Danio rerio: one gene and its partners. The main gene of each other region encodes a partner of the protein of the gene in region 3 in a complex. Links are inferred from orthologs where the notes say so. Each region holds a gene or a part of one and is shown on either strand. Other genes may lie near its edges. The genes, in order: kcnd2, kcnd3 and kcnip2.

Evidence for each region.
Region 1: the proteins of kcnip2 (region 3) and kcnd2 are in contact, whole or in part, in a cryo-EM structure (PDB 7UKH), measured with the Homo sapiens proteins. The link is inferred for Danio rerio from reciprocal best matches to the Homo sapiens genes KCNIP2 and KCND2. Residues at the interface, in NP_775283.1 of Homo sapiens: Arg112, Gly113, Phe114, Asn116, Glu117, Cys118, Val123, Phe128, Ile131, Tyr132, Gln134, Phe135, Phe136, Tyr144, Leu148, Phe152, Phe165, Leu169, Ile172, Leu173, Arg180, Trp183, Ala184, Leu187, Tyr188, Met201, Met205, Ile208, Met211, His228; in NP_036413.1 of Homo sapiens: Val5, Ala7, Trp8, Leu9, Pro10, Phe11, Ala12, Arg13, Ala14, Ala15, Ile17, Gly18, Trp19, Met20, Pro21, Val22, Ala23, Ser24, Gly25, Pro26, Met27, Pro28, Ala29, Pro30, Trp55, Asp57, Arg61, Arg100.
Region 2: the proteins of kcnip2 (region 3) and kcnd3 are in contact, whole or in part, in a cryo-EM structure (PDB 7W6S), measured with the Homo sapiens proteins. The link is inferred for Danio rerio from reciprocal best matches to the Homo sapiens genes KCNIP2 and KCND3. Residues at the interface, in NP_775283.1 of Homo sapiens: Arg112, Gly113, Phe114, Asn116, Glu117, Cys118, Val123, Phe128, Ile131, Tyr132, Gln134, Phe135, Phe136, Tyr144, Leu148, Phe152, Phe165, Leu169, Ile172, Leu173, Arg180, Trp183, Ala184, Leu187, Tyr188, Met201, Met205, Ile208, Met211, His228; in NP_001365898.1 of Homo sapiens: Val5, Ala7, Trp8, Leu9, Phe11, Ala12, Arg13, Ala14, Ala15, Ala16, Ile17, Gly18, Trp19, Met20, Pro21, Val22, Ala23, Asn24, Cys25, Pro26, Met27, Pro28, Leu29, Ala30, Pro31, Asp33, Trp54, Arg60.

Annotation. Positions count from the first base shown.
Region 1 is NC_133179.1:10,928,701-10,938,853, reverse strand, and holds the start of kcnd2 (A-type voltage-gated potassium channel KCND2), read right to left. Parts: upstream 5,381-10,153; coding exon 4,269-5,380; intron 1-4,268. UniProt on the Homo sapiens protein: Voltage-gated potassium channel that mediates transmembrane potassium transport in excitable membranes, primarily in the brain. Mediates the major part of the dendritic A-type current I(SA) in brain neurons.
Region 2 is NC_133183.1:29,999,692-30,009,780, forward strand, and holds the start of kcnd3 (A-type voltage-gated potassium channel KCND3), read left to right. Parts: upstream 1-4,717; 5' UTR 4,718-5,002; intron 5,003-5,874; 5' UTR 5,875-5,948; coding exon 5,949-7,051; intron 7,052-10,089. UniProt on the Homo sapiens protein: Pore-forming (alpha) subunit of voltage-gated A-type potassium channels that mediates transmembrane potassium transport in excitable membranes, in brain and heart. In cardiomyocytes, may generate the transient outward potassium current I(To).
Region 3 is NC_133197.1:36,996,538-37,006,015, reverse strand, and holds part of kcnip2 (A-type potassium channel modulatory protein KCNIP2), read left to right. Parts: intron 1-1,662; coding exon 1,663-1,787; intron 1,788-3,561; coding exon 3,562-3,631; intron 3,632-3,740; coding exon 3,741-3,811; intron 3,812-6,790; coding exon 6,791-6,898; intron 6,899-9,478. UniProt on the Homo sapiens protein: Regulatory subunit of Kv4/D (Shal)-type voltage-gated rapidly inactivating A-type potassium channels. Modulates channel density, inactivation kinetics and rate of recovery from inactivation in a calcium-dependent and isoform-specific manner.

The DNA of each region.
Region 1 (10,153 bases), on a different chromosome or scaffold from region 3:
TATGCCCATTTTGAACTATTGCATAAAAAATGCTTAATGAAAATGCCAACATAAAAATGTATTCGCACAGATGACTAGGATAAACCTTGGTAACACTTTAGATCACAATTCATGCTAGCTCGGCCCACTGAAGCTAAGCAGAGCGGTGCTCGGTAAGTACTCGGTTGCTGCCCGTAGTGGCGTTAGTAAGACCAGCACTCAACATGCACTTCATATGGGTCTTAATGCCCCAGTATATTGACAGAGAATTTATACTCCTCAGTTCTGGACAAGATGTGGTCGTTCTGTGTCCCTGTGGTTGTTAAAATCCCAGGTTGTCCTTTGAAAAAGAGTAGAGGTTTAACCCTGCCATCTAGGCCAAATTTGCCCACTGGCCTCCTAGCTATCTATACTTTGTCTCTTCGCCACCAACCAGCTGATGAGTGGTGTGCAGTATGGTGCAATATGACTGCTGACACATCATCCAAGTAGATGTTGGATACTGGTGGTGGATGAAGTGACCTCCCCCAATGACCCCCCTCCACCCCATGAAATTAAATTTACTGAATAAATTCAAACATGCGCATCAAAAAAGTCATGTGATGCTGTTTTATCAGATCATGGGATGCCAAAAATTGCAGAAAGTGACAAGATATATTTGGACGGACAAAGACATCGGAATATTTTCAATTATAACATATGAGCTATTTCATAGTAACCAAAAGTAATTTATTACATTAAAAAGGCACAAAGTGGTTAATTAGGAAGTGACAATTTAGTTCTCTTTGAGGCATTAGAAGGAAATAGTGTTTTATGCGATGTTCCAGTTTTGCACAAAAGTTTAATTCGCATCTTTGGAAAATAGCTATTAAATTGATTCGTTCAGCCACTTCAGGTGTCCGCTCCTGTTGCTAGAAGGCCACAATCCAGTAATGGTTTGGCTTAAGCCTCAATTATACACACATAAACTGGATAATCAGGGTATTTAGGATCACTTTCAGACAGGTTTACTGGAACTAAACTCTGCAGAAAAGTGGCCATATTAGTCTAAAGGTGAACTTAGGTACTAAAGCTTACTTACAATAGTTAGCAAAGTGCTCGGGTACTCTTGTGAAACACTGTGAAATATATATCTCTGGAACTTCTGAGCCAGGTTTGAGAGAAAATCCACGTGGCCTGTTCTCACCATCATGATATTGCGTCAATTGGGAGATAACCGGCATATCTTACACTACCAGACAGCAAAGCTCTACTCATTCTTTAAGCAGAGTAAGAGATAAAAAAGCCACTTCATTTCAATCAAAATGAGACCGAGATGAGCAGCGGTCCTTGGTGCGTGTATGCATAAATTTGGGGTCTAAAGCTGGTTGAGGCATTCAGGTATCTAACACAGAGTTATACACGATAGAGGCTATCTTTACGGATAATTAAAAATTCTCAATCATTCTCACACAGGCAGATTGAAGACGCCTGAGGGGTTGCGTATAATCTGGCAAGCGTGGCTTTCCTCCTGCTTTAATGCTGGCTTTTATCTCAGTAAAACTGTGCTGATAGTCAAAATGTTCTTCAATTGCGCATAGGGAAAGGGATGTCACAGTGTTTCGTTAATGGTAATCTATACCGCCCAAAAATATACCTGTAAATCTCACCCCTAGCTCTCTGAGCCACAGATCCATCCCTGTCATTCAGTCTAGGAAACGAGGCATTAAAAAGTGATGCATACATTTAGAGAGCCTGGCCCTTGTTCAATCAGAGCAGGTAAAGTCGTTTAGAGATTCCCGGACTGACCACTCTCACAAGTGTGTGTTTAAGCAGAAATGGAAAGGGAATGAGATTTCAGACCTGACAAAGGAGTGATGGTAGAACTCGACAAGCAAAGACAACGGAAGGATGAGATCTCAAATCTAAAAGGAGAGGTTCCTCCTCACCCCACTGTCTCTTAAACTTAAACTGTGTGACAATTTGAAACTTCTCTCTAAGACGACAAAAAAAAAAAAAAAAAGAAATGTAGCCACTCAAACATGAAATAGTCTCAAGACACAGGCCGATTTCACATCCCAAGCTTTGGCAATTGCTCGTCGCAGGATGAACTTGACTTTACCAGGTCAGATCTCTGCTGTAGCGACTGCCCCCCTGCGTGCTCCTCTTGATGGGCTCACTGAGGCAATGCAATAAAATCTGAAATGAGGAACAGCATGCCTGCCTGCAGAGAGAGGAGATGAGTATATGGGCCGCATCACTGAAGCCCTGCAGCTGTGGGTCTGTTTGGAAGACATAGTTCATAACCAGCTGGCTCCGACAAGTCATCATCTCTCCCTAGCATACACGAGCACATGCAGAGCGCACCCAACATTAAGACGATGCCGAGCGGTGCACCATAATTTCATTTTCTCATTGATGTCATCCGATTTGACAGGCAAGAAACGGCAGGACACAAATTGCACACAATAAGATGTGCCAATACACTCCCTCTCTCGTTTTCTCTCGCTCCTACTGGATCTTTTTCTCGCCCCTTTCACTCTAAACCTCACATTTTCTTTACAGAACAATGTAGGGCTGACAGGAAAGTAGAAGGGAATGGGAATGATTTGAACTCTGTGAGCCATAACTCTTCAGATATCACAAGGACACGCACTACCCATTGTGCCGCAGATCTGACAGACTCATTTTCTTATTATTAAAGGTTCGCGGTGTCTAAGAGAGGAACTTCTAACATTTCTCATGTCAAACACAACATTAGTCACATTCAGTAGACCATCTTCAGACATAAAGTTACAGATGAAAAGCAGACAGGTTACCCTGAAGTACAAAATGAGTCCTAAAAATCTCCTTTAAAACTAAAGAAAGTCTACCATTGACTCTAAAGGGAAACATGCATCATATCAGCCTGTCCCAGGCATCAGATTGACACTCACAATGCACAGTAATGCACTTCAAAGGCGTGCCGATCAAAGCACGGGATGCGTATTGGAGCATGCAGCTTGATTAATCCCCTCGAGTGACTCAGGACCGTGTCGGCTCACCAGCAAGGAATCGGTTGTCTCCCAAGCAGCCATGGGGCAACCACAACATGCGGTGGACAGATTCAGCACCATGGAGAGCACCCGCTTAGCACAGGATGGAGGCTTGGAGAAGTCATGCTGAGGCGTCTAGTGATGGGATTAATGAATGAATAACACATCAATAGCAAATGCATTATTGTAATCGCCTTCAGTGCTTAACGTCACATAAATCAGCCATGTCTCTCTGTGTGTTCATTGACTTTTTGGTAATTACAACATTGTGCCAAAGGTTCTTCAAGACGGTTTGCTATATAAAAAAAAGCAAGTCTTCCAAAAAAAAAAAAAGGAAGAATCTGTACTAACTTTGACACTAGGGGAGTCTCGTTTACCATGAGTGTGTATGAATATTAGAAGTACTATTTAAAACTCAAAAAAGCAAGTTGCTAGGAACAGATACAATGGAATGTCAGAGGGAGTACAAAACTACACTACATATAAGCTACACATCCACTTCTTTAATCACGGTACACATGTCTGTATAGCACTTAAGTCTTAACGTTCATTAACATCTAACTGAAGGTTTTCTTCGTTGAAGTCAGAATTATTAGCCCCCTAATAATAGAATTTTTTTCTTCTTTTTAAAATATTTCTCAAATAATGTTTAACAGAGCAAGGAAATTTTCACAGTATGTCTGATAATATTTTTTCTTTTGGGGAAAGTCTTCTTTGTTTTATTTCAGCAAGAATAAAAGCATAAAAGAATAAACCCTTTTAGGGTCAAAATTATTAGCCCCTTTAAGCTCATTTGTTTGACTGTTTACAGAACTATTATGTTTAGAAATGTGTTGAAGAAATCTGCTCTCCGTTAAGCAAAAAATGAGGAAAAAAATAAACAGGGGAGCTAATAATTCAGGGGGGCTAATAATTCTCACTTTAACTGTATATATGTAGTCAAAACTAACATAATTTACAAAATAAGTCAAGAATAAAACATAATTTAGAATAGTATGCTTTAAAGAAAAAAAATAAATTAAAAGTAAACCCAATGAGGCAGTCACAGATAGAATGATTGGTCAGATATATAGAGAGGAGAGAGATAGAGGGAGTCTATTTCTTTGATTTATCTCACTTGTATTGATCTCCCTCTGCCCTTGATGTATTTTACCTGCAGCTCTCAACTTTTCAGGACACGTTGGTGTAAAAGGGCTGCTTTGAAGCAGGCATGACAGCAGCAGATCATGCGCACAAGCTCGTTCAGTAAGTTTGCGCAGAACAACATGGACTCACCCCAGCGTTGTCATGGTGACGATGGTGTACCAGAAAGCCGCCGGGATGCTGGTGAACTTGCTGGCAGAGGAGCCTTTCTCTGCGTAGAACATGACGGTGGCGAAGATGATGATGGCCATGGTGAGCGAGAAGAGCAGGAAGCCCAGCTCGGACGCGCAGCTCTTCAGCGTGTAGCCCAGGATGCGCAGCCCCGCGGAGTGCCGCGAAAATTTGAAAATCCGAAAGACCCTGAAGACCCTGAGGGTGACGAAGGCCCCGCTCACGTCCTCGTTGTCCGTCATGACCAGGCCGATGTAGTAAGGCATGATTGCCACCACGTCGATGATGCTCATGACGCTTTTGACGAACTTGTACCTGCTGGGTGCGGCGATCAGACGCAGCAGGTACTCGACGGTAAAGATCATGACGCAGGCCGTATCCAAACAGAAGAACGCGAGGGCGTAGCGCTCCCCGCACGAGAGCTCCTTCGCGCGGTTTAGCGAGATGCCGCACGGGACCGTCTCCACCACGTTGGCCATAACGGAGACGGCGATGAAAAAGCCCGTGACGTAATAGAAGACCAGCGCCATGGTGCTGGTGTGCGGGTTCTCGAACGCGCGCCACATGGACTCGCGGAACGACAAATCCGGCATGACCAAGTCGTTGTTGTTGTCGTTCTCCTCATCGTCTTGAATTCTCTCCGCGTTCTCCCTTCTGCGATCTTTGTATTCCTCATAACAGCAGTCACCTATTATCTCTGGAATGATGCCGAAGAAGGCCAGCTCCTCGTCATAGGCGGAGATGCACTCGTGGCGAGGGTAGTGCAGCTTCCCGGTGCGGTAGAAGTTGAGAATGTGCCTGAAGATGTCCGGGTCGCGGTCGAAAAAGTACTCGTTGGTCTCCTCGTGGAAGAAAAAGTCGCGCTCTGTGCTCCCCAGTAAGGTGTCAGGGTACCTCTCCAAAGTATTCCGCCAAGTTTGAAACCTAGTGCCGCTGACGTTCAAGATGATCAACCCGTCCTGACCACGCTTCTTGTCCCGCGGAGGCGGCGGCATCGGGGCGCTCGCCACGGGCATCCATCCTATAGCTGCGGCGCGCGCGAACGGTAGCCACGCGGCGACTCCGGCTGCCATCCTGACCCAATGTGCGCGAACCGGTGCGACTGAAGCAGATTTTGCGCTCACTGATCCGCCACGCGCAGAAAGGACATCTGGAGGGACACAATGCGCAATCAGTTGGCGTAAACTTAAGCAATACTATCACTCACGTGAACAACGAGCCGCGTTACACATCCAGATTAAAGCATTCTAACAACAAAATGAGAGAATATAATGAGAGAGAACGTAAAAATGTCTATACGCGTACAAACTGCACGTGCTGACCTATTGCTCGAGAGCGAAAGAGAAAGCTTACCTCCTCATAAATGGATTTTGATGCAAAAGTGCAGCTTTTTACACACAGTTCATCAGTTATAGTCCACTTTGTATCGCTGTTCCGTCGTTACGCGCAAATAAGTATCCAAAATGCGCTCTCGGAGGTGTTCTGGAGCAAATGCAACAAGTTTACAAGTCAGGTAGAGGATTCGCGTTGTCCAAGGACATCCTTTTAGCCAGTCACAGCTGATATGTGCTTCACACTACCGCTTATAGAGAAAACCTGCCACAGTGGTCCTTTCATAGGGAGAGAAGACCACCCTGGCGAGTGCGCGTTCGGTGTTTCAAAAAAAGCAAATGCCACTTTCCTATCCGCTTCCTTGAAATGTAATCCAGCGTCCCGTGAACAATTTGGCAGGGTCTGTCTGTAACCAGAACAAAAACTGAACCTGCAACAAATGATTTGCTGGAAGTTGCTTCATCCGCTACCGACGGAGATCTGTGAGTCTGCGGTGGAGCCCAAGTTGCTTCTGCTCACGGCGCATTGGAGGCGTGTCACGTGCTACGGGCATCGGTTAACACATATGAATGTAACACGGTCTGTGTGAATGGTGTATAATGTACCATGAGAAGTGTTACGTTTCAATGTTTATTTGAAGCATTTATTTCTGTCATGAATAGAAAAACAAACACCCCCGTATAACGCATTGTGTAAAGACATCATTAAACAGATTTATGTTTAAGCAGAGTTTAACAGGAATTCAGTGAAGCGCTGAATTGCGAGCTGAGAGACTGGGAGTGAAAGCATTGCGGATGTTTTTACGTCTCAGGTTATTGATTCACACATTCAGCACTGACAGATATAAAATGGGGGAAGCCGCTAGATGGAGACAGTTTTCAGAGGTGAATGAAGATCAGACCTGTAAGAGCAATAGATTCGAGTCATGTGAAGGTCTTTTGCTGTGACAAACACAATCAGCAAGCTCGAAAATGCGATTATCTGTGTTGCAACTCTCCATACATGGGTCAATGACAAATAAGGATGTTTGAGATGATAAGAGGAGAAATGCTGCACACGTTGCAAATCTAATCTGACTGTAATTATCCGTTATTATAGATAGATAGATAGATAGATAGATAGATAGATAGATAGATAGATAGATAGATAGATAGATAGATAGATAGATAGATAGATAGATAGATAGATCTGTCAGTGCAATAAATCATCCATATTAAAATTGACACCTACAGTACAACCACTTTTTAACGAGGGAGAGAGAGATTAGAGAGAGAAATAACATAATCTGTAAAACAAAATCGCTTCACTTAAATAAGAATTAAAAATGGAATATAATCAGTCAGAAATTATCATATATTAAAATTTTAATTCTTTGCTGAGATAAACTTGTTTTTACGTCAGAACTGTGGCTTCTAAGATAATGCCCCAGCTTCTGAAAAAATCGACTTCGCCAAAAACTGATTTGAGCGAGTGAACCAAAACAGCTGCGGCAGCTCAGAGCGCCGTGCGTGTTTGTGCGCGCGCGCCCCCGTGATGAATTTCCTGGCGCGGGGCCTCCATATTCTCAACTGCCTTCCAAATTAGTCACATAGACGTATCGCAGATTAAATGTTGCGAGAGGAAAAAGAGAGAGTCTTTGATCTCCATGGCTTGCAGGGGTTTTCTTTTCAGCACCATGGACAGCGACCAGCCGCAAATACAGGCGTGCTGCTTGTTAGCACTGCGGACAGCGACTGTCGCTCTATTGAATATTGGCAACGAGCTTCTAATGTTTACATGCACTTTCTAATATCTTTAGGATATATTTTCTGTCTTTTGATGGCATTACAGTCCTTGAAATGCAGAATTGTACTGATTATCATCAAATGTCCTTCCACTCACCTTACTGCAGTTAACCTCAATCTACTAGATGCATTTTGTTCACACTGTTTACAACGTGTTCTTTTCACACGGTTTATAATTTGTTTGTAAATCCCGCCATCCAAAACATGTGTGTGTATTTGAACCCTGTATATTTTTAACTTAATCTTCTGTTTCATACTTCTCAAATTGTGAACTTTGATGCTGAAAATAAGTAATAAAGAAAAAGAGGCCAAAATCGGATGTTGTTTTGTATATATATTTATATATGTATATTAGTTTATCATTTTATTGTATATAACACCACTGTATTATTTAATTTTATGAATCTTCAATTTAAATAATTTAAATATACATATATAAAGTTGTCCTACACTCTTTTAACATTTTATTGCATTTTGAGAGAAAAAAGAAACAAAATACTAAACAAAAGGATATTAATCTTGTAATTTCACTATCCTTTATTTCACTGTAATTTCAGGCATTGTTTGCCTTTTTTCTAAAACATTTGATCCGTTTTTACACAAATTGTAGCATAGAACGCGTTTGTTGTGCTTGTCTATTTATGTACTACAACAAAAATATGGTATTATTTTAAATATTTTATAGTACATTATAGTTTTCACTAACAAACACAAATACCATGTAAATACGACAGAAAATCAATATACAAATAAAATACGTCTTTAAAAAAATCACTATGACCTTCTGAGGTTGACAACTGACCTTTTCACTGACCATCATATCGGCTGTAAGCCAGCATTTCAAAAAACACTAACTTTTCTTTCGCTGCCTCTAAAGCACTACCATTTCCTTCAAGAAAAGCAAATCTGCTTTAGCAATGTCACGGGCAACCCACACTCACACAAAACCACACCGCGCTAAACTCCATTCATTTTCAAAGCTAACAGGATTGCCTCATTTGAGCATTCTGTACCGTGGCCACGCACTATGTTTTACACAGAATGAACCAGAATAGTAGTGTTCAGCACCATCACAGTCAATTTTCTGACTTTTGTTCAGTGCGTTTCCCTGCCTCGGGTTGTTAGAGAAATGGCGCCAAAATATGACAGGCGCCGATGTCACCATGGTTACCAGTCACATCTATTTCAGTCCCGTGAGCTAAACCTGACAGTGTTGATGCATGAAGAATGTGCATCCTGACAGCTCATTGCCTAAGCGTGATAAAACTCACACCTCAGCCGAATTTAAAGAGAACAAATTATGAAAATCAGCTTTTTCTGCACTTTCAACACAAATAGTTGACTTTACTTATGTGAAAGCATGTTGCCTTAAGCAAGGGGTTTCAAAACTTTTCAGCCCGTGACCCCCAAAATAACAATGCCAGTGACTTGTGATCACCAAAATCCTTGGTGTAAAATATAAATATACAAACATTGCACACACAACAATAGGTCTATATAAACACAAGCTTGGTGCTAACGAGGCTCTGTTTTTTTTTTTTTTTCCGAGGGTCATCTTCAAATATTTAATAATTCTGAAATATATATATACAGTTGAAGTCAGAATTATTAGCCCCCCTGAATTATTAGCTGCCCTGTTTATTCTTTTCCCCAATTTCTGTTTAACGGAGAGAAGATCAACACATTTCTAAACACAATAGTTTTAATAACTCAACTCTAATAACTGATTTATTTTATCTTTGCCATGATGACAGTAAATAATATTTTACTAGACATTTTTTAAGACACTTCTATACAGTCTAAAGTCGCATTTAAAGGCTTAACTAGGTAAATTAGATTAACTAGGCAGGTTAGGGTAATTAGCCAAGTTATTGTATAACAATGGTTTGTTCTGTAAACAGTCAAAAATTGGCTAATAATATTGACCTTAAAATGGTTCATAAAAAAATTAAACACTGCTTTTATTCTTGCCGAAATAAAACAAATAAGACTTTCTCCAGAAGAGAAAAATATTATCAGACATACTGTGAAAATTTCCTTGCTCTGTTAAACATTATTTGGGAAATATATATGTTAGTATGCATTACAGTGTACTGTAAAAAAAATTTTATTAAACGTCTTTAAAAATCATTCATTCATCTATGTATTAAATATTAAATATTTTGCATAAAAAATGAGCTGCTCAAAGTTTGCTCCCCACAAAAGTTGAATGTTATTGCTTCCACCAAAAAAGTGAACATTAGACTAGTTATAATATATTATCTGTGTGGTATCTTGAGCTGAAACTTCACAGATACATTCTTGGGACGTCAGCAAGTTTTTACCTCTTATGAAAAAAAAAAAAAAAACATAATATATCCCCTTTCAAATACCTTTCCCCATTGGAATAGCACTCTGAATCTGTGATGTACCTTTGAGTTTGAGTAAGATGCATCTCATCGGTCCACAGACGTGCCAGACCACAGCTGAATAGACACTTATAAATTGACAGAAAATGAAAAGGAACATCTTTATTCAAACTCTTTACGCTGGAGGTCAAACCACAGAGACGCTTATTAGAAATGATCTTTATCACTGGAGACTGGACCACGAGGACATCAGAAAGGCTGTTTCAGCATGCATGAGAGCTGGATATGACTTTAACTGACTGCCTGATCAGTGTGTTTGAAATTCTGCTGGGGATGATGTGAAGCTTTTCGCCATTTATTATGTTCAGCCTCTCTTTTTAGG
Region 2 (10,089 bases), on a different chromosome or scaffold from region 3:
TTTACACTGTCGCCACTGATCTGAGTTTATTGGTATTCTTCAGAACCTTCAGGCCCACTTTGAGAGCTGAGAGTCCCAGCAGAGTTAATTAGGCTTTATATTGCTTACTGAAGCAGCGAATCTGTGGCTACACATATCAGAACCCGCTCCACACTCAACAACACGCTTCCATCACAAGGCACGCCAGCACACTAAATCCATCAAGGATTTCCAAAGCCGATAACTGCTGAGGATTCATCCACTGAGCCACGTTTGAAGGACGTTACAGGAGAAAAAAAGAAAGAGGGATATAAATAATTCACATTTACACAATATGAAAAGAACAGAAATGAAAGTCCAACGGCCCGAGTTTGGGCCTGTAGAACACCACTGCATATGGCTTTGTTTTTGCTCATTAATTTGCTGGACCGGTGCAGAGATTTTGGTCCAAAAGCAGAAATTAATTGCTATTAAATGACAGCAGAAGGATAATTACGAATGCATGAATGCACACAGCGTTGTTCTTTCAGGTTAAAAGTAATATAATCACAGGATTTGCAAAAGTTTGTCAAGTTATGATGTAAATTCTTTTGAAAGACATTCAAGAGTTTTTAGGCACTTAAAGGGACAGATTAACCCGAAATTAACACATGTATCATTTTGCATTAGGAATGTCATGCTCAGGGCTGAATTTACCAAAGGACATTTTTGGCACAGGTTCGAAGGTCGTGCGCACTTGGGGCCCCTGTTGGGGGGGATGCCGATTTAGAAGTGTTTATAGCACACCGTGTTGGAATAAACTATTTGAGCGATTTCTGTCCATCAGTGTTTGATTAACAGAGCACCACTTTTAACAGCTTGAGTGGTGTAGCTTGTTAAATGCACGGCAACATGTTTTGACCATAGAATGTAAAAAGATATGGACGTAGTACCGTGACGTCACCCATAGGTTTCTGAAGAACGTAAAAGAAGCTACACATAGACGTGGCCAATCATCGCCATTTTATTTGCGCGTCATCGCACCAACCGGGGAATACCAAACAAGGGCAAAGAGCCTGCTTGCATTTAGCTTAGACAGGTTTTTCTTTGGGAGAAATGCTTAATACTTCATTTTCTGTGACTCATTTGTGTTCTGACCACATGTACTTAGTTATATGCTATATCAATAAAGTGTTTCGTCTTTTAAAAACACTGTTGTAATACACTGAGCCACTAAGAATTGTTTAAGACATTTTTCAACAGAAGGAAAACGCAAATTACTTCCAAACACTTCAAATATAGTCTGTATTAGTAAATGTAAGACTATTTATAAAATCCAGGCATAACACTGTATGACAACAGTTCAGATGACTGTTCTATAGCATACAGTTAATTAATCTGTCAGATTCTGAAGTGCATTACGGGTCTAAAGAAAATTTTGAACGATAAACGATCTTAAATAAAACAAATACATTTATGGATATGGTATATAAGTATATTATTTCACTCACATGGGAAACAGGGGTAACTTGAATGGCTTGTGAGCACAATAAAGTGCACGCAGCATGCTGTAGTATCTGATAATTGTAGAAAATAATTTCAAAAAGCAACTGACTGTGTAACGCCACATAAAACAAAAGAAAAATATGATGTATATGCTGAGTTCAGCAGCTAATCAGCCGGAATCAGCTGAGGTGAAATGACCAGCGAGACCTAGCTGTCACTCAAGTGGCCACGCCCTTAATTATGCAGATTTAATATAACTTGTTATAAATTAAATGAATGAGTTATAAAAAAAATTCACCCCCTCACAGTTGTCTTAAAGTGTAATATTAGTAATATGAACCCAACTGTTCTTTGTACCAGGCTGCAAACACCTTTTTTTCTGCTGTAAAGTTAGTCATTTTAACAGTGGGGTCAATAGAAATTTGCTCTATATGGAGGCAGGTAAAGCGGAATTTCGATGAATTGCAGTTTCAGTTACTTCCGTATTTGCTTCACAAGAGAGAGCGGGAGGTTACGACTTGGTTTTAACGCAATCGATCATCAACCCAGTTCAAATCCAGCGTGTGATGAACTATTTTTTTTCTTTTTTCCCCATTACAAATTAGATCGAAAATACATTTATTTTATTAAAATTTTTTTTTTTTTTTTTAAATATGAAAATAATGAAAAAGTCACAAGTGGCTCAACAACCAGTTAAAGTCAGAATTATTAGCCCCCCTGAATTATTAGCTCCCCTGTTTATTTCCCCAATCTCTGTTTAATGGAGAGAAGTTTTTTTCAACACATCTCTACACATAATAGTTTTAATATCTCATTTCAAATAACTGTTTTTTTTGTTTTTGCCATGATGACAGTAAATAATATTTGACTAGATTTTTTGGAGGACACTTTTATACAGCTTAAAGAGACATTTAAAGGCTTAATTAGGTTAATTAGATTAACTAGTCAGGTTAGGGTAATTAAGTTATTGCATAACGATGGTTTGTTCTGCAGACTATCGAAAAAATATATATAGCTTAAAGGGGCTAATATTTTGACCTTAAATAGGTTTTTAAAAATTAAAAACTGCTTTTATTCTAGCCAAAATAAAACAAATAAGATATTCTCCAAAAGAAAAAATATTATCAGACATACTGTGAAAATTTCTTTGCTCTTTTAAACATCATTTGGAAAATATTAAAAATAGAAACCAATTCAAAGAGGAGCTAGTAATTCTGATTTTCCTCTTACCAAATAGTTGCCACTTATTATTACTATTATTATTATCTTTATTGTTAAATTGTCCGAAAATAACACCATCAATGAAAAGCACGTTTTCATTGCAGATTCATCAGCAGATTTTTTTCTCTTTCTTTCTTTCTTTCTTTCTTTCTTTCTTTCTTTCTCTTTCTTTCTCTCTTTTTTCAACTAAACAGAATGTTGTAGTTGTATTAATTTTTTTATCAGTGTGCTGTAAATGCTTTAAAAATAAGTTAAATCTTTGTAGACTAGAATTATATGTACTATATAATTTATTTTAAAATGCAGGCAATACAGATTTGTTTTATTTAAAAATCATTATATTATTCTTATTTTTTAATTCAACTATAGGGGTGCGGCCGGGTAAGGGGCCCTACAAGACAATGTGCCCAGAGGGCTCTAAATTCTTAATCCGGGCCTGGTCATGCTCTATTTGCAGTGGCTCTTGATTACAGGTAAATATGTTTAAAAATCTTACATCACAGATAATAACCGAGTTTGTTATCAGAAGCAATGGGGGTATCATTAGTTTTTTTACCAGTATATCAATGATCTCAAACTCGACTCCTGGAGGGCCAGCTCTGCACAGTTTCGCTCCAACCCAAATCAAACACAGATGATCCAACTAATCAAGGTGATTAGGACTACTATTGGCTATTAAGCAGGTGAGTTGAAGGTGGTTGAAGCTAAACTATGAAGAGCTGTAGCCCTCCTGGAACTGAGTTTCAGACTATTGCTGTATACGTTTTTTGACTCTCGAAGTGCAGGAGCCACTGGTTGATAATAAATAAATAAATAAATAAATAAATAAATAGATAAATAAATAAATACTTTGGTTCTTAATAAAAAAAATCCTAATTCACATGAGGCCTCTAAGTGTGCAAAAAAAAAAAAATTGCATACTACCTTTAATTGCAGTTAAATTATACAACTGCTCAATGAATTACACTTAGTTTTCATATTTTTATTTATTTTATGCCAAATTCTACAGATTTTCTGAAATGTCTCAGTATGTTTTCTGTTTGGTGAGTCAATCATGTCATTGTTAACATAATTTCTTGCATTTTTATTATTACTTACAATGTCACACAGCCTCTGGTTAAAGGTATAAACCAAGCAAACTGGGATTGATTGCTTCATATCATTCAAACGGCTCTTTCTGTCTAAGTGGGCGTTCTTGACTAAAATAAACTATCGACCCGACCTTTAGCAGTCTAGTCAAAGGTCTGGCTATATGCGAGACAACCATATATACCTTATAACACTCACATAAACAATAACATCGTTTAAATAAGTGTTTGCAAAATGATTGGCCAAATCACAAGCCTTTTAAATCCCAATGAGCCCTTCTTAAGTGTTTTTGTAATATTAGTTTTCATTATGTTTGTGAAAACCAAACCCACACACAGGCTGAAAGCATTTTAGGAATCCATTGCATCAGTGTCTTGCATCACACAAAAGATTAAAACAGATAAACATTACATGATCTATGAAAAAAAAATAATAATCTCTATGTGCGCCAGTTTAGCTTACTTCATATGCGTAAATACTTTCTGGTTTAAGCCTGACAATTTGCATTATGTATCAATGTGAGAGATGTCTTATACGACGTTTTAATGTCATGTTTAAATGAGGATGGCAACAGGGCTCGTGAATGACTTTGTAAATCAATTACCTTGTCCCCATTTCTATATTGGCTCAGGTAAGCTGCGGCACGCAGAGTGAGACCACTATAAACTAAAGGTGAAATCGGCGCGTTCTCGAACAGTGTGAGGGGCGCGAAAGCAAGCATATACTGCCTCTGTGCGTCTTGCGCTCTCTCTGCTCCACGAACACCGCTCGCTCGCGCACGCGGCACCAGAGAGCGCGAGACCTGGCAGCGGAGAGACCTCGGGGAGGGAGAAAAGGAGTGTGCTAGTGTATGGAGAGAGCGAGAGAGAGAGAGAGAGAGAGAGAGAGATTGGGAAAAGACTACACCACCTCTATCCATCAGCTGAGCATCCTGCGGGAAGTCACTTCGAGCGCGCGAGCGGTCGGTGCGGCATTTCACTCCGTCCGAGCAAAATGGATCATTAAACAGCGCAGGATGTGACTGAGGGACACATAAGCAACTAAACTCTTATTTTTTGCGCCTCCGGTCACCCTGGTTATACCACAAATATTGTATTCTTTCACGTGGGTTCTTGTTTGCCTTTCTTCATTAATGTGCGGATTTTTCGGCGAACACTTTCGAAGTGATGTCAGGAGGAAATGTGACAAATATAGCCGAATGAATGAAAAGTTAAAAGATTTTTCATGGGTAAGTAACAAAGAACACAACTGCTGAAACGAGTTTGCTGGATTTTATCTGAATGCGAATTTACCATTTTTGCAATAATAATGATTGATCGTGACTTGTTTATATTTTGCGATATGTCTTCATGCGCATCTGTGAATAAATGTGGTTAACACTTAAATACTTGGTTGTAGAAAAGAAAGAACTACAACATTGGCCGTGTGTAGTGACCAATGTTTTGTAGCGTTTTATAGCTTTGCATAAAAGCTCAACAGGTTCGCATCTGTTTCAAACTGCAGTTGCTCAAGGGCTCTTGTGTCGCGAGCACAATCGTGCCCTTTGGAGTCTCTTACTTGAACTAGGAAATCAGTTTTTTTTTTCTATCTCTCTGTTTTAAGAAAGGCATGATGTATGCTGTTTATGTTGAATGCTACACGTAAAACCAACTTAACAGTTTTGTGTTTTTTTTAACTATGCTGTTGATGCTTAGCATTTGTTTAAAACAGTACAGCTGTGCCAGAATACAGTACAATAGTGTTGGAATATACATGAATGCATAGTATGGACTGTAATTAATCTATAAGATATGGACAACGGTTTTGTTAATTTGCTTTTGCTTGTGTTTTTTTCCTTTCTTTTCCATTGCATCTGTACCCCCTACCTCTCTTTGTCTTTCATTTTTCATACTTCTTTCTACTGTACACTACGTGATTGCTTCCCTTTTACCTCTGCCTCTCTATTCTGCTGGCATCCTGTTCGCTCTTGCCGTCTTTTCACTCCCATTTCACATCTGTCTCACTCGCTCCCACTGGAACTCTCTCCTCTTCCTGTCCTCCCACATTTGCCAACCTCTCACTCTTGTCTGTGTTCCCATTTCCCTGTCTCTCTCTATGTAGATGGGGTCTAATCTAATGTCAAGCTGGTTGTGAAGGTGTTTGATCTGGTCCCCTCGACCCCATCCGGAGTCCCCATGGCTGCAGGAGTAGCAGCCTGGCTCCCCTTCGCTCGGGCGGCGGCCATAGGATGGATGCCCGTGGCCAACCTGCCTATGCCTGTTGCACCATCCAATAAGAACAAGCGACAGGATGAGCTTATTATCCTCAACGTCAGCGGGCGACGCTTCCAGACATGGCGGAACACGCTGGACCGATACCCCGATACACTCCTGGGGAGCTCAGAGAAAGAGTTTTTTTTCAACGAGGAGACAAGGGAGTATTTCTTTGACAGAGATCCAGATGTGTTCAGAAGTATTCTTAACTTCTACCGCACAGGGAAGCTGCACTACCCACGTTACGAGTGCATCTCTGCCTACGATGAGGAGCTGGCGTTTTTTGGAATCATTCCTGAGATCATCAGCGACTGCTGTTATGAAGAGTACAAGGACCGCAAGAGGGAGAACACTGAGCGTCTAATGGATGACCTTGAGGACAACAAAGACAGCAAACTCCCTAACATGACTTTCCGTGAGACCATGTGGAGGGCCTTTGAGAACCCGCACACTAGCACCATGGCACTAGTTTTCTACTACGTAACCGGATTCTTCATCGCCCTGTCCGTCATCACCAACGTGGTTGAGACGGTTCCTTGTGGTTATATGCCAAATCAGAGGGACGTCCCTTGCGGGGAACGCTACACTGAGGCGTTTTTCTGCATGGACACAGCTTGTGTTATGATCTTTACAGTGGAGTATCTGATGCGACTGTTTGCGGCGCCCAGCCGGTACCGCTTCATGAGAAGCGTGATGAGCATTATCGATGTGGTTGCCATTTTACCATATTACATCGGGCTCGTCATGACCAACAATGAGGATGTGAGCGGAGCCTTTGTCACACTACGGGTGTTCCGCGTCTTCCGGATCTTTAAATTCTCCCGCCACTCCCAGGGTCTCCGAATCCTTGGCTACACACTGAAGAGCTGCGCCTCAGAGCTTGGCTTCCTCCTCTTCTCCCTCACCATGGCCATCATTATCTTTGCCACAGTCATGTTCTATGCTGAGAAAGGCTCATCGTCCAGCAAGTTCACCAGCATCCCGGCCTCCTTCTGGTACACCATTGTAACCATGACAACACTGGGGTGAGTCATTTTGTCTTGGAATGACTTTCTCTCTGTATATTTTTACACTTTTTAACCCTGGGCGGACATCAAGCCACACCCCTGATGCATTTCAGTGGTTATGTCATGAAGGGATAGTTCACCAAACACACTCAGAAATGATGTGGAAAATGTGTACCTTTAGGGATACTCTCAGAAAAAAAAAGGAGCAAAAGCTGTCACTGCAAGCGGGGAAGTACCTTTTCAAAACAAAAAACACTAATATGTACAAATTGGGTAAAAATATCTGAAATTTTAGGGGTTAATTTGCAAAGGTCAAAACATTTGTACCTTATTTTAAGCATTTTATAGGAGTTTGTTACAGGTGCAGCACATTTGCAAGAGACATCCTTCTACCTGATTAACCCCTAAAATCTTCATAGTAGTACCTTAAGAGTATACAGTATATAACTATTTTAAGCTACTAATATGTACCTTTTATTAGTACACCCTTAGAAATAAAGGTACAAGAGTTGTCACTGTGGTACCTTTTCAAAAGGTACACATTTGTACTTGCAGGGTGCATATTGGTACCTCAGAAGTATATATTAGTACTTACAAATTTTAAGAGGAACACGCTTGTACTTTTTAGGTACCAATATTTATCTTTGAGGTATTAATATGGACCTCTTAGGTACACATTTGTACAGTTTGAAAAGGTACCACCCCAGTGACAACTCGCGTACCTTTATTTCTAAAAGTGTAGATGATGGAAAATTTGACCTTGCAATGGTATTGTCCTAGTGACAAGCTTAAGTATTCCTAAAGATACAGCTTTTCTCTCAGTTAAAATAAAACAAGTCTGTCATGACTTACCCTAATGTTTCAAAAGTGTATGATTTTGTAGCATGAAAGGTTTTTTTGAAGAATGTTTTTATTCATACAATTAACTAGTATTGAGTGGATTTGAGCTCCACTGGCTTCAAATGAATAAAAAAGCTCTTTAGAATATCTCCTGCTGTGTTACCCAGAGGAAAGTTAAGGCCCCGTCCTATTTCTGCCCATTCTCATAACCATTTGTAGGTAGATATCTAGATTCTCTTTTGGTGAGATTAGTATGGGGTAAAGGGAAGTGCCAGATAGCCCTTCAAAGATTCTTGGACCTAATATTAAAGGAAAGTGAATGGTAAATTCCCTGGAAATGTAAGTACACTTCTCGTCACTCTGTGAGAAGGAAGAGGTGTTGGAGTAGATGAAGGAGTATAACCTAGAATTCAGATTGGGCCTTAGTCAAGCAGGTTTGGAACAAAATCTTTGGGTGAACTATCCCTGTAAGTAGGCCCACTCTTAAAAATAAAGGTATAAAGACTGTACCCTACACTTTTTGCACATTTATGCACACTTTAGGTAATAAAACATCCCTTTAAGGCATGGATCTCAAACTCAATTTCTTCAGCTCTGCACAGTTTTGCTCCAACCCTAATCAAATACAGCTGATCCAAATAATCAAGGTGTTCGAGTAGTCTTGAACACCTTGATTAGTTGAATCAGCGTGTTTGATTAGGGTTGGAGCAAAACTGTGCAGAGCTGCGGTCTCCAGGAATCCAGTTTGAGACGTATGCTTTAAGGTACCAGTATTAACCGATTATGTACAAATGTGTACTTTCTAAAGGTACAAAGACAAAAACAGTTTTTTTACCTTTATTTTTGAGTGTATGTACAAGATTTAAAAAACACAAGAGCAACAGAAAAGAACACAACTGGTTACAATATTGCTTTACACTCCATCTGTGAAAGAGAGGCTGTTTCCCTGCAGCTTGTGGATTTTCCTTCTTTTCTGAGTTAACTGCTATTAGCATCTAACCCTAATGACCATGGTTGCTGACTGCACTCATGCCTGCCCGAAGCAGCGGTAGGTTTGAATTTAACTTCCTGCCCCAGGCTAGATTTTATTCATCCCTATTATGCACCAATTAATATTTAAGCATGTGTGAAGCAAACAGAGGAACATCCTTCAGCATTTTCCCCTCCACATTAACAACAGGCAAGCAGCTGCAGAGCTGTAGAGCCCCATTTAATACAACCCGCCCCTCATAAATCACAGGCCGTTTATTTGTGTGTTCATGACGGATATGTGTGGACGTTTGACACGATTGGTTTTAAGAGCAAGGGTAGAATTAATTCAAGCAATTAGTTTGAGTGATTACATGGCGGATGACTTGAGTAATCGACTTTATACTATCAGCAGCTAGGGTATATAGCTGCCGTGTCACTGTGGCTTTGAAACTGGAGCTGTAGTCAAAACAGGCTTTGGCTTGCTGGTTAGACGGTTGATGATTGGCGGAAGCACCTGACCGTGAGCCCAATGACCCCAAAACATCAAGATCAAGGACTTAAGTCAGTATCTCATGAATGTTACATTGGCAAATGCGTTGGTCCTTGGAGAATGCAGTTGTGTCAGGGGTCAAATGTAGAATTACAGTTACACATGTCTTACGTATTCATGCTTTCATTTTTTTGTGTAAACTACAGTTTGTGAATGGCTAAACCTCTTAAAGATCCTTGTGAGCACCATGTTGAACTATAAACCCTAGGTATCATGCTTGTTGTGATAATCTGCTGGCTAGTTTTACATGGATTTCAAAGTAGCCCATATCTCATTACTCATTACTACATTCACCCCAGAGATCCAGTCTCCACCCGCATCTGAGACTTGACCTGAGATCGAGGGCGAGAGAGACTCTTCTCATCAATAAAACACAGCTTAGAAGTGTGTGTCACTGTGACTAATGTTCTCAGGTACATGTGCTGAACAATGTAAACCACTATGACATTTCCAACCTCGCTGACGTCATGTAGTCTCACTGTCTGTGCGTGGGGGTGCTTCCCATTCAGTTGGAACCAGGGTTCGCTTTCACGTCCCAGCAGTTTTTTACAGTTGATTGTACCAGGTTTGTATCACTTTGCAATACACCTGTTGATTCTGAGGCCTCCTATCTGTGCTCCTGACCAATGCAATGGTGTGCTTTACATGCCTGGTGCTTCTCTTATTCAATGATTCGTTCATGCTGAAGTGCGAG
Region 3 (9,478 bases):
TTCCAGCTACAACCCAGTATTGGGAAACATCCAAACACTCATTCACACAAATACACTACGGGCATTTTAGTTTATTCAATTCCCCTATAGTGCATGCGTTTGGACCATAGACTGTAAAATATATGGACGTAGTGTCCGTGACGTCACCCATAGGTTTCTAAAGAGCGCAAAAGAAGCCACAAGTAGGCGCGGCCAACCGTCGCCATTTTGTTACTGCGTCATCACACCCACAGCGGGATACCAAACAAGGGCATAACAAGGGAGAGTGAGCGGAGCTACAGACACCTGCTGGCATTTAGCTTGGACCTGGTTCAGACACACTTAACTTTGGGAGAACGCTTAATACTTTATCACCTGCGACTCGTTTGTATTCTGACCACTTTTTCTTGGTTGTACACTATATCAATAAAGTGTTTAGTCTTTTAAAAATACTGTAGTACTACATTGAGCCACTAAACATTGTTCTTATGACGTTTTTCTACAGGGGGAAAACGCGAATTACTACCAAACACTTCAGATATAGTCTGTGTTAGTTAATGTAAGACTATTGATGAAATCCAGCATAACACTGAATGACAACGCTTCAGATGACTGTTCTAGAGCCTACAGCTAATCAATCTGACAGATTCTGCAGTGCATTACAGCTCTAAATATAAATATAAACGATAAATGATCTTAAATAAAATAAATACATGTATAGAGATGGTATATAAGTATATAACTTTACTCACATGGGGAACGGAGGCCACGTGAATGGTTTGTGAGCACAATTAAGTGCACTCAGCATGCCATGACATCTAATAATTGTAGGAAACAAGTTCAAAAGGCAATTGACTGTGTAAAGCCACATAAAACATCACAGAAATACGATAAATATGCCGAGTTCAGTGGCTAATCTGCAGGATTCAGCTGGGGTGACGTGACGGCGACCAACGAGACCTAGCTGTCACTCAAGTGGCCACGCCCTTAATTAGGCAAACTTAATATAACTCAATATAAAGGAAACGGATGAGTTATAAAATAATTCACCCCCCTCACAGTTGTCATGAAGGGTAATATTAGCTGTTTTAACCAAAATCTTTTTTTGTACCAGGCTGTAAACACCTTTTTCTGCTGTAAAGTTGGCCATTCTAACAGTGGGCTCAATTGAAATTTGCTCTGTTTTGGAGCCAGGAGCGGCCAGGACTAGCGGAATTTCGGATGAATTGCAGTTTTAGTTACTTCCGTATTGGCTTCCTGAGGGAGAGCGGGAGGTTGCCGCTTGGTTTGGACTGTGAAACCGGAGCACCCGGAGGAATCCCACACCAACACAGGGAGAACGTGCCAACACAGAAACACAAACTGACCCAGCCTGGACTCGAACCAGCGACCTTGTTGCTGTGAGGCAACAGTGCTAACCACTGAGCCACCGTGTCACCAGTCTAAACACACTTCAAGTTAATTTTTTATTTAGTTTCAGCCAAACTAAAGAAAGTGAGACTTAAAAAAAACATACTCCTTTGTTGAACATGACTTTGGGAAATATTTGAAAGACTTAAAATTTCGCTGGAGAGTGAATCATTTTACTTTCAACCGTATATGGGGTGGTTCTTGTGTTAAATGAATTCACTGCTGTTTTTAAAGGTCTGTATGATTACTTGTATCTTTTCATCTCTCTTATAGACAGTATAGAGGAGGATTTTGAGCTTGCTACTGTGTGCTACAGGCCGGACAGTCTGGATAAACTGATGGAGCTGACCAAGTTCACCAAAACCGAGCTACAAATCCTGTACAGAAGTTTCAAAAATGTAAGAAGCTAATTAAGCCAGATTGGGCTAAAAAGATTCAACAATGTGTAGAATCACGTTTACAATGTTTTGTTGATGAACAATGAAAACATTGACAGCCGATAAGAATCTACAAATTTTAGGGAACTTCAACAGTCGACAAAAATACAATTAAAAATGTCATTAGTGATGCTGTGGACGCTAATGTAGTTATTGTGTGTTGGTGTTGATGCTAATATAGTTATCGTTATAGTTATCATTTGTTGTTGTGAGTGCTAATATAGTTATTGCTATATTTATTGTCTGTTGGTGTGGATGATAATATAGTTATCATTATAGTTATCATCTGTTGTTGTAGATGCTAATTTAGTTATCGTTATAGTTATCATTTGTTGTTGTAGATGCTAGTATAGTTATCGTTATAGTTATCGTCTGTTGGTGTGAATGCTAATATTGTCATCGTTATAGTTATCATCTGTTGTTGTAGATGCTAATTTAGTTATTGTTATAGTTATCATCTATAGTTGTAGATGCTAATATAGTTATAGTTATCGTCTGTTGGTGTGAATGCTAATATTGTTATCGTTATAGTTATCATTTGTTGTTGTAGATGCTAATATAGTTATTGTTATAGTTATCATCTGTTGTTGTAGATGCTAATTTAGTTATCGTTATAGTTATCATCTGTTGTTGTAGATGCTAATATAGTTATAGTTATCGTCTCTTGGTGTGGATGCTAATGTAGTTATCGCTACAGTTATCGTCTGTTGTTGTGTATGCTAATTTAGTTATTGTTATAGTTAGCATCTGTTGTTGTAGATACTACTATAGTTATAGTTATCTTCTGTTGGTGTGGATGCTAATATAGTTATTGTTATAGTTATCGTCTGTTGGTGTGGATGCTAATATAGTTATCGCTACAGTTATCGTCTGTTGTTGTAGATGCTAATATAGTTATCGTTGTAGTTATCATCTGTTGTTGTGGATGCTAATATTGTAATAGCTGTAGTTATCATCTGTTGGTTTGGACGCTAATATAGTTATCATTACAGTAATCGTCTGTTGGTGTGGATGCTAATATTGTTACAGTCATAGTTATCATCTGTTGTTGTAAATGCTAATATAGTTATCGTTACAGTTATCTTCTGTTGGCATAGATGCTAATATAGTTATTGTTATAATCATTGTTTTTTGTTGTAGATGCTAATTTAGTTATCATTATAATTATCGTCTGTTGTTGTAGATGCTAATACAGTTATTATTGTAGTAATCGTCTGTTGTTGTGGATACTACTATAGTTTTCATTATAGTTATCGTCTGTCGGTGTGGATGCTAAAATAGTTATTGTCATAGTAATCGTCTGTTTTCGTGGATACTAATATAGGTATCATTATAGTTATCGTCTGTTGTTGTGGATGCTAATATAGTTATCGCTATTGCCAGTTGCTGTGGATGTTAACATGGTTCTTTTCGACAATGATTTGGTTATTTTGTTGCAACGTTTTGATAAATTCACGTTAATTTATTTGTATGTTTTTGTATGAACAGTTCATGTCCCATTGGTGAGGTTTATGGGGTCTTGTCAATGCTTTTTATTGTTCAGGTCATGCGTTTTCCATCATACTGTATGTACAAATTAGTTAAATTGTTTGCAAACATTTTCTTCTTCATGTGTACAAAAAAAAGGGCTCTGTCCCGTTAAATACTTCTCTTAAATCAGGTTATTGTTACTAAACACATTGTAAATATGTTTTCAGTGCATCTTTTAACAGTGTTTTGTTTTGTTGTGCTCTAGGATTGTCCCACTGGAGTAGTCAATGAAGAAACCTTTCAACTAATCTACTCTCACTTTTTCCCTCATGGAGGTGAGTGCACAGAGCTTGAAGATAATCAGATTTGTTATTTAGTTCCCTTTAAATGATGATTTCAAATGATTTCTTAGTCTAAGTTTCATGCTGTTTTCTTCTTTTGAAGATTCTAGTGCATATGCACATTTCCTGTTCGAGGCTTTCGACAGACGCAAAAATGGAGCAGTGAATTTTGAGGTCAGTTTGATTTTTATTCACTAGCTGTGTTTCTATCCAAGGGTGCGAATTAAATTTATGCTCAAAACTGAAACATCGCAAACAAATTTGCCAATAAAGCACTGTTTCCATCCAAAGAGAACAGAATTGTCACTGATTAACTGGAGCCAAATATCAACAAAAAAGGGGAATTTGCTGCGGTAGGAGAAGCTGCGTGAATCTTTTCCTCATTTAATAAATACTTGAACCTCAAAAGGCAATGCTGACATGCAGAGCCTTACATTAACACCCATTAACCCGCCAAATGCAAGTAGATTTGAGCTGTGGCGGGTTAAACAGAGACCTCCGCTCGCCACTTTGGCTGGTTGGAAATAGTTTTTAAATTGTAGTTTTGTTAAAAGCAGGGTTCGACAATAACAACCCAGGCTTATTCTGGAAACGTAGCCCCATGAACGTTTCTGGAGATCGCGAAATACATCTCGGGAGGTATGGTATGGTACAAATGGTATTTTTGCAGTTTTTGTTTTCAGGAAGCCGTGAGAGGCCGATGTGCGCGCTTTTTCGCATCTCGAACGCCTCTCGCGAACGCGCTGTTTGCGCCCGCTCTGTTCTCACGTAAAAAGTTGCTAGAGGCCGCTGTCGAGCGACCGTCTGTCCGATTGACCGACTAACTGAATGATTGACTGGGCGGCCGGCCCATTGGCCGACCCAGCCACCCTCCTCCTTCTCTTTCCTTAAACCCAAGGGACGATTTACAAAAGCCATCCAGAAAAAGAAAAGCCCTTGTCCGATTTTGACCACGTTTTCGGAATTCACCACATTCTCACCCTGTTACAAACTCGTTTGCTTTTATTTTTTAAATTCTGTTTTTTGTCTTACCTGATTTCTGGAACCGCTCTTCCCTGGACTCGAACCCGGTCATCTCTGCGGCCGGCTCCTCCTCCGGACAATTAACACGACGAGCTAACCGGACAAACTGGTTGCAGCGGGAAAGCCCTCCAAATGGTGGAGGTGAGCCGTCAGCAGGCGAGCGCGAAGAGGAGCGGCGTCACACCGCCCCGTAGCGTTCGCTTGAAAAAACAATATGCAGCCATACGTCTCCAGAAATGTCCGCGGTGCTACGTTTTCAGAATGAGCTTGAGTTGGACAATAAGCATGGCCCAATATTCTTGCAAATGTGATCTTAGAATCGAGAAGCAGCAGGACTGACAAAAATAACTGTTCGCCGAGAAAAACAGCAAAAAAGTAGGTAAATACTGGACAAAGAGCGATGATCATGCACCCACAATCCTGCTGCTTTCAAGAGCTCAAAATGTAAAAAATAAAACACATATTCTTTTGTAAGCAGCAGCGGTCACTGCTTTCATTTGAATTATTCTTTGAACAGATAAACAGGCCTATATAAACCTATAGGCCTATATTAAAATAATAATATATTATTATATTTGTTAATATGGTTTAATCATATTTTTACAATTACATTGCTTTAAAGGGAGATTACTCTCCGTTTATGTGTAGGTAACCGCTGATCCGGGACTTTTAGCTAGGACAGATTACTGTGCATATTTTAGATACATGACAATAATTCTTTTTTTAAAGGAAAGTTTTGTTGAATTAAAAAGTGCACCTATACAGCTGTATTTCCCTGTTTGACACTTTTGTCAAAATTGTGGCTAAGAAATTCTTATTTTGTGTGCTAAAAGATAAATTTGGGTTTATATTGGTACCTAAAATGTTTAAGAGGAACACTTTTGTACTTTTGAGGTACTAATATGTACCCTTGAGGTATTAGAAAGGACGCCTACCTTTTTTTTTCTGAGAGTGTATAAACATATGCTTCATAGGTTCAATTTCACTCTACTAAAGTGTATGTGACAAATAAAGGCCTGATTTGGTTTGGTTTGATTACTATAAAGCGTTTTTCGGGCAGCCGTTGCAATCGGATCCTATACCAAAGTTGGTTTTCAAGGGGTTTCACAGAACACACCAAAATGCTGAGGACCCGATAAATAACAAAATGGGAGGGTGGCGGGAGATGGGTCTGAAATACGGGAGATTAGCTTTGCGCTAAGGAGGGGTTTGGGAACAAATGAAGCACTTAACAAATCATATGGGAGTCGCTGGGATAATTAGGTAAAAATAAATGCAGATTATAAGACAATGAAAGTGTTTTTTGACCTTGCAAGCATATAGGCTTGTACACACTGGGACGACTTTCCTTTGCGTTTATCGTTAGTGTTTTATGAGACGTTTTTCTGGATTCAAACCCAATCAATTTTTAACTGGCGTCGAGCAAAAGAGTATGCAAAAATCACTCCTTGATGTTAAATGGCGCTAAACAACTTTAAGCTTCTGACAGCCCGCTTATAACACAGAAGAAGAGGATGAAGGGAAGTTCACACGCTTGTTGTTAAAGTTACTGGTGACTCGAACACGCATGGATGGTTCAAGCACCAGCTCCAGCTGTATCGATGAAGAATTGATTATTGTTCACAAGAGCAATAAGCAGCTTCACGTTCATATCACCTCTGGGCATCCTCTTCAATGTGCGCTCACATTGACAGTTTTGTGCTTGAGCGCCTCCTAGTGCTGTTTACTTTAGCAGCTCCGTGCACGTGAACAAAAGTGCCAATCTTATTGGCGGAGAAGGTTTTGACGTGGCGCATCAAAACAAAAAAAAGAGCATGAGGCGTTTCTTTAAAAATGACGTTTCTACACCTGCTGTTTTGCGCATTGTTGTGCATGATCACATTGGCGCCCTTTATTTAGTCACAAGGCGTTAGGCGGTCTTTGGAAAACACGAGCAAAAAGCTTCTCTGTGTGCACGGGCCTTTTCAGCCGGTTGTTGGAGACCCTTAAAACCAAAATAGGACCCTTTTGCATGTATAATGAAGGCTCTTTAATGTAGTTTCCTATATTTGAATTCAAAATCATAAGCGTCATTTAATGAATATGTTTACATCACAGACTCACCAGTCTCTCATTTCTGTTTGGCCTTAGGACTTTGTGGTGGGCCTGTCGATCATTTTGCGCGGCACAGTCACCGACAGACTATCCTGGGCCTTCAGTTTGTACGATCTCAATAAAGACGGCTGCATCACTAAAGAGGTAAAGGTGTTTACGCCAACACTAATGCTATTAGCTGCAGTGTAATGCCAATGCACCGAATGCGGTGAAAGTGTCCAAGGTCGCTCTGGCCGCCCTGGTGACAACGCTGTCTGCCTTCAGCTCCGGCAGCGAGAGCGTCAAAATTCGCTACATTGATCTCGTATTTAAAGGGGCCGTTGCAGCAAATCAGATCAGCTACATTCCTGCATAAAACATGCTGGCTAGCGTGAAAATGTTGCGCATTTAACAATGGAAGATTGAGCTGCATGTGGTGTGGCTTTGCTCCACTTAATTATCCACTGTGTCCATATGGCTGAAATATCCTGAAGCAGAAATACTGTTTTGTACTGTCGCGTGAGATTCCTTTTTTAAGATCTTAAAAAAGGAATCTCACGCGAATTTCTGCACATTCCTGTAAGAAAACATTGTAATTACTTGAAAATCTGGCGACCCCAATAATCAAGCCCTTGGGAAAAACTGTGGTCGGAACCAAAATTCACAGGTCTGTGTTCTCTGAACTGCTCTCAAGCGGTGGACTTCAGCTGCCTCCGAAACCGCCTACTACTTAGTAGGTACTGCATTTGAATTTAAACGTACTACTTGGCCGTTAGAAAAGTACGTTCTATACAGTGGCTGTTTCTCACTTCCAAGAACGTAGACAACGGACTTGCATTCTTGTGGAGACCGGTATTGCCAGGTGTCCATGGAACGAACTCAGGAGACCGCGAGGGCAGAGAACGTGTCCTTTGAGAAATGGGATGCTGTGTTCTTCCTGATGGTCACATGACCTTCACGTGTTTTAAATGGAAATTATTTAAATATTACAGCATTCATACAACGATTTGTTGTTTTCCCCCCTCTTCAAAATATATACTTTGCATAAAAACATTAGAAATAACGTATACTCTGCACAATATAAATAAACAAATTTTAATACGAATTTCAGCAAACAAACACCCTTAATGTGTTTATTCCTTTATTAAGATATTCATGTTAATGTTTACTTTCACCTTTTCATTTAGGGAAACTCCTGAGATAAATAAGTGATATCTCTGAACTTTAATAATAAATCTAAATAAAATGCTGCGCTTCCCACTTCCAGTCGCAATGACTTCTGGGACTTCCAGAGCGAGTTCGGTGCCTGTCGGAAGTCTGCATTGTGGCATCCTCGATATCAAGATCACATCCGGGAAGTTTCACGTGTCCTCCGTACTTGCGGTCTTGAGTATTGGAACTGAACTTAAGGCTGATTTATACTTCTGCGTCAAACGCCGGCGTATGCTACGGCGCTGACGCATAGCCCTTCGCTGTGGCCGTCGCAGTCACTGACGTGCACCTCTCAAAAAATGTAACTACGCATCGCAACAACGTGTATTGTAAGCTCTGTGATTGGTCGGCTTGGTAGCGCTGACGAGTCTGGGCGGGACCGAGAGCCGCGCGAATGATTGTTTACAAGTGTGGAGTCCCGTGAAGGAGCTCCGGATGGAAAGTTTTGTTTTGTGTTTACCTCATAGTTAAAGTTGTTGCACGTCCGCCGGTTCCTGCCTCAAAATGAGCAAGTTTGAGCCACTTGTACAACCAGGAAGTGTTCATGTAAAGCAAAAAAGCAGCGAAGAAACTCGACACAGAGGAACATTTACACCTCACTGTCAACTAGCGTTTCACAAGTGTTAATGCAGACCAACAGAGACAGCGCGCAGAAGTATAAATGCACAGCTACGCGCGTTGCATGCGCCGTGAGTTACGCCGGTCACCTGACGCAGAAGTATAAACCAGGCTTTAGGCAGCTGATGATGACGTTGCACGAAAACACGAGGACGGAAGACCGCTGAAGAACGCATATTGAGAAACAGCCAGTATGAATGTGAAAAGCATGAATGGAATTCGCACGTACTACATCCGCCATTTTGTCATGGTCATGTTACCTACTTGTGTCAGTTGCGTCGCATTCATGAATTTGCTCGCGGGGCATCAAGGGATAGCGCAGCATGCATGGGATGCGCACTCCAGAATCTCGCCGGAAGTAGTAAGTCATGCGGGTACTTCTCGCATACTGATTTTCGAATTCTATGAATTCGGACATACTACTTGTCTCGCATACTGATTTTAGTGTACTATATAGTATGGAAGTATGCAGTTTAGGACGCAGCCTCCTTTCTGACTGCATTGAAAATGCATGACTTTCGGCTACTTTGACGCTCTCGCCGCTTTCGGTGTTAACATACGGTAAGAAATATTTGTAAAGTAGCCGTTTTCCACATTTTGTAATTCATATTTTTTTAATTTCCTTGTTTATTTCTGCTTTTAAATTGCATCATGGGAGCATGATCTTTCCTCCAGCTACTTTTAAGCTTGAAAAGTTCAAAATAGTGACCTTTATAAACATTGGTAATAGTGTGCTGTGCTATATTGTCTGGGTTGGTGTTGTATATTACACTACAATAAACTGCAGCACCTTATTCTGCAGACTTATGTCTCTACATATTATTTATTATATATTATATTACTTATAAAACATCAAAAATAGTCACTTTAAATGATAGAGTTGAATTTTCAACTTAAAAAGTGGACAGAGCAGAG